Saccharomyces cerevisiae S288C: one gene and its partner. Changing the gene in region 2 together with the main gene of any one other region gives a genetic interaction. Each region holds a gene or a part of one and is shown on either strand. Other genes may lie near its edges.

Region 1 (4,627 bases), on a different chromosome or scaffold from region 2:
GGGAGAACGCAACAAACAAAGAAAATCGATCAGTCTTTGTCCAAAAAACTTCCCAAAGGTACTATCTACGATCCATTTGACTTCTCTATGGGACGAATCCATTTAGATAGAAAATATCAGGCAAACAAGAACTCAAACAGGAACGATATAATGAAGTCCGGTGCAAATCCACTAGAATTTTATGCAAGACCAAGAATACTTTCAAGATATGTGACCTCCACGGGAAGAATCCAACATAGGGATATCACAGGCTTATCGGCAAAGAATCAAAGAAGACTATCGAAAGCCATTAGACGGTGCCAGGCAATAGGATTAATGTGAACTGTACTACACTAATGCTTCTCCACATGAAATAATTAAGAAAATAAGGCATTTCATAGTTCTGTCTGTAAATATACAATATGTAAAAAGAATCGCAATTAGATCTTAAGTTAAACTTATATTCATTCTTATATTTCTTTAATATACCCGTTTTATTCGCTTACTCGAATTTGGATTATGGTAATGATATTCACGCCAGAGGAATAAGCTGAAATTGACGAATAACTTTTCAAATAATTTTATTACTTCTATTATACAACTTTATAAATATCTAAGCTGCCATTTACTTAATAAGACGGGTTAATTGTTTACGCTTCATCTTCCTGACCATCTTCATCACATGATTTGACATCCCACTTCATTTTGACATCCCATCTACTAGATTTAGCGCTCCAGCTGACGTACTTAACAAACTCCAAAACACTTTCATCTCTCAAGACCAAATTGAAAGTATTCCAAGCAGGTGGATCATTAATCAATACTGAATCACCACTGTCATCCGCACGATAAACAGAAGCGTCTTCAACGTCTTCCTTTAAGTATTGCTTATTATCTTCGTCGTCGTCCATCATGTACAATTCGTAACCACCAAGCTCTCCGGATTCCCAACCGGCAGAAGGTGTCAAGCACAAAGTACCTTCCAAGACAGCATCGATTATATCTGGATTGCTTTTCAAAAGTTCATTAAAGCGACATTTGGTGGCCAATGTGAAATCCATTCCTGGCCTAAACCTTCTAATAAGGATTTGCTCACTGACTGGGCACAAAGAAGTTAGAAGAGCTAGGTATTTCTTGAAAATTGTGCTCTTGTGAAATACAGCTAGGTCAATCAACGCTAATTCTGCATCAAAATTGTTTTCCCTACTATTTCCGGAAGCATCGGAGATAATTTTAATTGCGTCCTTAGTAAACTGAAAGTTTGGCAAATCATTGTTATTCAGCGCCTCAAGAATATCAGCTTCTGTTTGGAAATTACGGTATTCCTTACCGTCGATGTACAAATAACGGGCTTTGTGTGGAGGAATAGCCGTTTTCCACGGAGCTTTCACATCTTTTGAATGATAAGGACATTCCTGTTCCAACTCTTTTTGTTTGATAACCTTCTTTAACAATTCTGATTTATCGTCATTTAAAAACGACTCAATTTGTAGAGAAGAGTTCTCAACAAACTGCTTTTGTAGTTTTTCGATACCTTTCGAGCTTAAATGTTCAGGAGAGATGTATTGAGATAGATAGGTGAACTCGGCTTCAGACAACTTAACCGAATCAGAAATCACACTAGTCATAGATTCTTTAGGTGTGTTATCAGTTTTTGCGCCAGCATCGCCCTTGAGCATTTTTTCAAAGTGCTTCACTTCATGAAATGATAAAATATTTCTCTCGTCCTTTGGAAATTCAAAATCTTCTAGGACATTAGATTCAATCTGCGCCAAAGTGGATGTGTTGTTACGGACCCACGCTTCTTCTTCACCAGGTATGTAACCTTCTTCGCCAACTTGTGGAATATGGTACCATCCTTGAATAGATAATCTGTGCTTATCAACTTTGACTTCTTCGACATCGTGGAAAGAGAAACCCGGTAAAACTTTGAAAAAAGCAATTTGATTGAACTGTGGAACTAGTTTAGCAGATGGATCGGAATGTGGAACGTTTGGTAAAATACTTGGAAAAAGTCTTAGACCACCACCATAATGCGATTTCCATTTTCTGTCGGGATCTGGTAGGTATAAAATGAAACTAATCCTTCTAGAGCCAATAACGTCATCATGAGTCAACAAGTGACATCCCTTTGTGTAAGTGTTGATGCTCATGTCGGTCTTAGAACCAGACAATTTACCAGCTTTGGTGACGTAGCCAAAAAAATCTCGATATTGCTTGGAATACAGAATCTGGCGCAGCTTGAACAAATTAGGCAAACGGGACAAGTCATCCCAGTCCAGACCAGACAAATTGGCCAAGTCACCACTTTGGTTGACTCTATAGATATCGGTTTCTTTTTTAGTGAAATGGATCTCAGTTTCTATTTCTTTACGAACAGCACGTAGAAGATCGTCATTAACCAATTCATGAATAGTACCCCAGTTGTAAGGCTGAGAGTCTTCAATTTCCTTTTTCAAGCCATCCTGGAAAGTCTTGTCCCAGATTTTAGGGTTGAACATACCCTTTATCTTGTCCTCTTCGAGGGAAATTTGTTTGGAATTTCTCTCCTTCTCACCTTTAACTTCAGCAGTTTTTCTCTTCATTATATTCCCGGTATATTTGGTGATCTTAATTAAAAAATGTAAAAATAAAAAGAAAGAGTGCTAAAGAATGACACAAGAAAACAGTTGGCTCTTCGTGTTGTAAACGGAAGAGAACGGCTTCCAAGTGATGACTTGATTAATATATAAGCGAATTTTTTTTTTTTTTCACTTTTACCTAAGAAGTTTATCCGATGGAATGGTCCGAAAAAAGAAGATGCAACTATTACGCACATAAAGTAGGTGTAAGATCGCCCGATACAAACAATAAATAAGCAAATACTCATTTTATTGCATACTTCGGAAACTTTATGCCTGATGTAAAAGAATCCAAGCAATTCATAGGATCTCTCATTGCATCAGCTTGTTATCATACCGTAAAGACATCTCACCTCAGAGTGGGCTTATGTTTTAGTTATAGCGTTTTATATACAAGCTATAAACTCTCCTCTTATAGTCCCATGTGGGTTGAAGAAAAGAAAAGAAAAGAAAAATCTTCTACCAAAAAAGAAATGCTATTGATATTAAGGAAGTAAATTACATGATCTAATTGAAGTCCAACCATGCAAAGTATCGGTCGAAAATTAGGAATATCATCTAATAATATCTTTTCCAAATTAAAGGCGGCCACCTCTCTATAAGATATAACCATACGAATTTCCTGACGTGAGAAGGAAAAAATTACTGGAAAGTTCTTTCTTACATGCAATGACCAGTTAGGCCAGGTTTTAGTGTTTTCTTCCTTGCAATGGTTCTACGACCAGCCTGTCAAATGTGTACATCTGAGAAATAACAGACTGTCTTTTCAAGACACCTAAGTCGTTCTTAGCTTCCTTAAATAGGTTCATTAACACTTTTGGGTCTTGCTGATTCATGTTCTTTCTGAAAGTAGTCCTTGTTTTACTTAAAAAGTATTCCCTGAAGTTGTAATTATTGAATTGATTAGCATTCTTGATGAATTCCTTGTATAAAGACAACACCTGCCTTCTTGTTGGAGCTGTAAATCCAGGCATTTCTCTTCTTTCAAAAGGTGATTCCAAGTTCCCTATACTGCAGATAAAAATGGGAATAAAACTGCTATCCAAACTTCACTTGTTACCTTAGGCTCCGTAAAGTTACTGTGTAATTATATCAATTCCTCAATCATTTTTCTCCGCCGCTTATAAATGAATGAGAATAAATAGACTGCTATTACCCGGAAAGCGGGTGTTTCTCCAATAAATGCATTGTTTAATAATAAGTGGGTAATACAATATTGTTTGGATTTGATGGAAATAGCTATTGCTTTATCTACTTTACTGTGGACATTTGGGAACTAAAAAAACCTCTTTAACCAATATATTCAGCATATATTATGTAAAAATGAATAAAAAAGGTCCTACCCGGATTCGAACCGGGGTTGTCCGGATCAAAACCGAAAGTGATAACCACTACACTATAGGACCAGTACAACTGTAAATTGTTGTATCTCAAAATGAGATACGTCAGTATGACAATACGTCATCCTAAACGTTCATAAAACACAGATGAAACAACCTTATAACAAAACGAACAACATGAGATAAAACCCGGCCTTCCCTAGCTGAACTACCCAAACGTATAAATGCCTGAACAATTAGTTTAGATCCGAGATTCCGCGCTTCCACCACTTAATATGATTCATATTTTATATAATATATAAGATAAGTAACATTCCGTGAATTAATCTGATAAACTGTTTTGACAACTGGTTACTTCCCTAAGACTGTTTATATTAGGATTGTCAAGACACTCCGGTATTACTCGAGCCCGTAATACAACATAAATTTAGCCGTAAAAAAATCAACTAACCCTACAGTAAACTAAACGTAGTACTTTGACACCGATAAACAGGTGAAATATTGAAAAATCGGCAAAAAAATACATAATTATTAGCACTTTACTGTTATTGAACATTATGATATCAGGTATACAAGATATTAGGTATACAAGGTATACCTGAGAAACTGGTGAATAATTCGATAATTGTTGGCATTCCATTGTTGGGAGAGGCTATTATATCATGTATACAGAATATAGTAGAAGTT
Region 2 (3,379 bases):
AAGCTCAAGCCCAATCTCAAGCTCAAACATCAATTGAAGCACTAACGCCAACTGAAGCAACAAACCAATCCGATACAAATGAATATAAAGCAACAGGAACTCCGAATTTGAGGGACATCGAAGATATGGCACTATATAGTGTAAACTACGGAGACTCTCCAGTGAGATCTCCACCACCTGTTGTAAGCTCTCAGCCACAAATGAACTCACCATTATCCTCACATTCACAAACTTTCGGAGAGAATAATGGCACGAATGACAAATTACTACAAGAACGCGAATTGCAACTCCGTAAAAAGGAATTAGAGCTACAAGAACGTGAACTGGAGTTCCAGAAAAGAGCATTACAGCAACAAAGATTTAATAATAGCAATAATTCAATTCCAAGAAAGCCTTCCTTCCCTCAATTACAGCAGTCTGCAAACGTTCGTTCTAACAGCAGAGGAATGCATGGCACCAATGGCGCTATGTCTCAACCTGCATCCGCCGGAAATTTTGTAGACCCAATTTCTTCAAGTATCGCTGCATATGACCCGCAACAACCTCCTTCCTTACCCCTACAGCAGCCACAACAATCGGTACAAGTACAACCTTTTCACTCACACTCTATCAAGCCCACAAGTAGGAAGAATAGAAATAGTAATATGCCTAATATTGGTAATCCTTCCAGTATAAATATGAGTGATTTTGGCAGACCACCGAACAATTCAAGTCAAACTCGCTTAAATTCCATGCCAACGCATAGCATCGTAAACCAGAATAGATTGAGATCACAACAATCGAAAAACAAACTGAATATGCCACATGCCACCAACCCAAACAATACTTTTAACCAAGTCCCTGCTCCTAGTTTAAACAATCACGTTCCCACACAAAGGCAATTTAGCTCCAGTACCATGATAGAAGTTACAAATAATAACAACAAAGTTAATAACAGTAGTAGCAACCCTGATATTTCCACCAACTCGGTAGTTCATAACGCAATGCAATTTACAAATACAAACAACAATACAAGTAGCACTGTGGATATAAACGATCCCAAAAATATTGCACCCCCTCCTACAACCTCTGTTTCAGCCCCAAGCACTCCAACCTTGTCCTCATCAAGTCAAATGGCGAATATGGCTTCGCCTAGTACCGATAATGGTGACAATGAGGAGAAAAATGGTGGTAAGAAGAAGAGATTTGGCCTATTCAAAAAAAAAAATAAATCAAAGAAATAATATCCTTCGACAGCTTAATGAACACGCATGTAAATGTTTTGTAAACAGTTTGTTTTTTCGTTTTTGTATCTGTTAATTTTCTATTATTTATTTTTTTAGTTTTTTTTTGCGGTAGAATTGGGTTATCACTGAATCTATTTTATTTTTTGGGTTGGTTTCTCCCTGTTTTCAGTTTGTTTGAATTGGTGTTTAACAAAATCTGGAATTATTCACTATAATTATTTCCTCTTTTTAGTTTGACCAAATAAACTCAACTATCTTGTGTTATTTCTTTGTATTATAGCTTTACACATATTTAACTATCCATACCTTTTACTTTTTGTATATACTGTTAATTTCATAAAACACGTTTTAGTACCAGAAAATCGTGTCATAGCACCGTTTTAGCAGTGATTTTTAAAATTGTCCAAGGTGCCAATAAATACTGGTGGGAACAACATTTTAATTAGAATAGCTAAAACCTTCTAAGAAAACTATCCCAGCGTAGAAAGAAAGAAATCTCTATCAGCCGCGCAAGTGCAGTATCTCTTATTTTTGCACGGCCCCGTCGCTATATTGTCACACGCATTTGAATTAGTGACTCAATAATAATACAGATTTGTGACGTATAAAGAAACCACAGAAAAACTGCGTATGTCCGAAGCACAGGTCCACTAGTAATAGAGCCCAAAAATCTGACATGAAGAAAACAATTTACAAAGTCCTCGTAAGTTTTTATCAATATGTCGGTTTAGGTAAAAAGTTCCATCCTAGCCACGATACAGTATTAATTATTGGCGGTTCTTCAAATGAGTTAGGCATCGAGCTCTGCGAGACATTTATAGAAGATTATCATACAAAGGTTATAAATATTGACACTATAGACAGTATTAATGGAAAAAACGCAAGGAGAAGTGAAAAACTGTATACTTTTATTTCTTGCAAAGATTTCAGTGACATAAAATGTCTTGAGGAATCCATGCTTTACCTTCAAAATTTAGAAATAATTCCTACAGTGCTCATTAACAACATGCAGGAGGGAATCGAATCGACTCTTCTCAAAGAAGACAAATTTTTGAGACTTGATGAAGAGTCTTTAAATGAATTCGAGAAAATCGTGAGGTATAATTTACAAAGTGTAATATTGATAACTAAGTTCTGCTTGAGTAACATTTTTCCAAAGGTTCAAGCTGAAGCTCAAGAAAAAGCAAAGGGGTTCTATATTGTCAACATATCATCGGTATTGACGTTAAAACCGTGCAAATCAGGAACACATTTTATTACATCGAAATGTGGTATAAACTCTTTCCACGATGGAATAACCTCAGAGCTTAAATTGAAAGATAGTAATTTGAATGTAAAAACGCTGATTGCATATTTACCCAGTTTTGAAAGTGAAGCACATTGGAAGAGACTTTCCCCGAGTATCTCGAAACATCTCGTCCACTGTCTACTTGAGGGAAGATATGGTGATACAATTCTCGAAAGCAAAAGATCAATTGGTGATATTCTTTTGATAACTGGTTTCAAAAGCTCTTTTACTTAAGGGTACTACAAATCGAAGTAACAGTGATAAAATTGCTAAGCACATATATTTCTATAAATAATTCAAGGAAAAGAAAGGTAACACTACAATTTTTATGATGATAAATAATTTGAATAAACCGGCCAGAATAGGCCAAAAAATTTTTTTTAAGTCTAACGAGATTCTCCTCCAAGGCAATAAGAATCAATAAGTCTTAGTACTGATGGTAGCTCCAATACAGGCACATTGAACCACTCTGTATGCCTCTTTTTTCCAGTTGGATCACACCCATAACAGTAAACCAATCCTTTCCCGTATTTCTTCCATAAAAATTTATGAATAGCGCTTTCGATATCTGGTAGTTTCATTGAACCTTTTCCGCTAATGAAAAATCCACCATCTTTATAAGTGCGTAGGGTTGGCACCTTAGGATCTGGAAGGGAAGGCTTGTGTGAGTGACTTTTATCTTTGATGAAAAGTTTCTCCATTTTTTTTTGTAAGCTTGATAATGAAATGGGCAATAGCCTGTTTGAACTGATATTTTTGCTTTCACTTTTCAATTTCAAGTGGTATAATTTATCGACTTTCTCTGGAGTCAAGTTTATCACTGGATGCTTGCATGTGGTTTGCCATTCTAAAAGTCTTGAATCTA

What was found.
Region 1: mutations in SRL4 (region 2) and TPA1 together harm fitness more than expected from each alone (negative genetic interaction), as found in Saccharomyces cerevisiae (2 studies listed by BioGRID).

What each region holds. Positions count from the first base shown.
Region 1 is NC_001137.3:249,665-254,291, reverse strand, and holds TPA1 (oxidative DNA demethylase), read right to left. Parts: upstream 2,565-4,627; coding exon 630-2,564; downstream 1-629. Other genes in the region: mitochondrial 37S ribosomal protein bS18m RSM18, read left to right, coding at 1-321; ISD11 (Isd11p), read right to left, coding at 3,290-3,574. UniProt on the Saccharomyces cerevisiae protein: Prolyl 3,4-dihydroxylase that catalyzes 3,4-dihydroxylation of 'Pro-64' of small ribosomal subunit uS12 (RPS23A and RPS23B), thereby regulating protein translation termination efficiency.
Region 2 is NC_001148.4:486,731-490,109, reverse strand, and holds SRL4 (Srl4p), read left to right. Parts: upstream 1-1,902; coding exon 1,903-2,748; downstream 2,749-3,379. Other genes in the region: SVL3 (Svl3p), read left to right, coding at 1-1,223; YPL034W (uncharacterized protein), read right to left, coding at 2,901-3,379. UniProt on the Saccharomyces cerevisiae protein: May be involved in the regulation of dNTP production. Induces the SOS system when expressed in E.coli, therefore, it may play a role in DNA metabolism and/or in genome stability.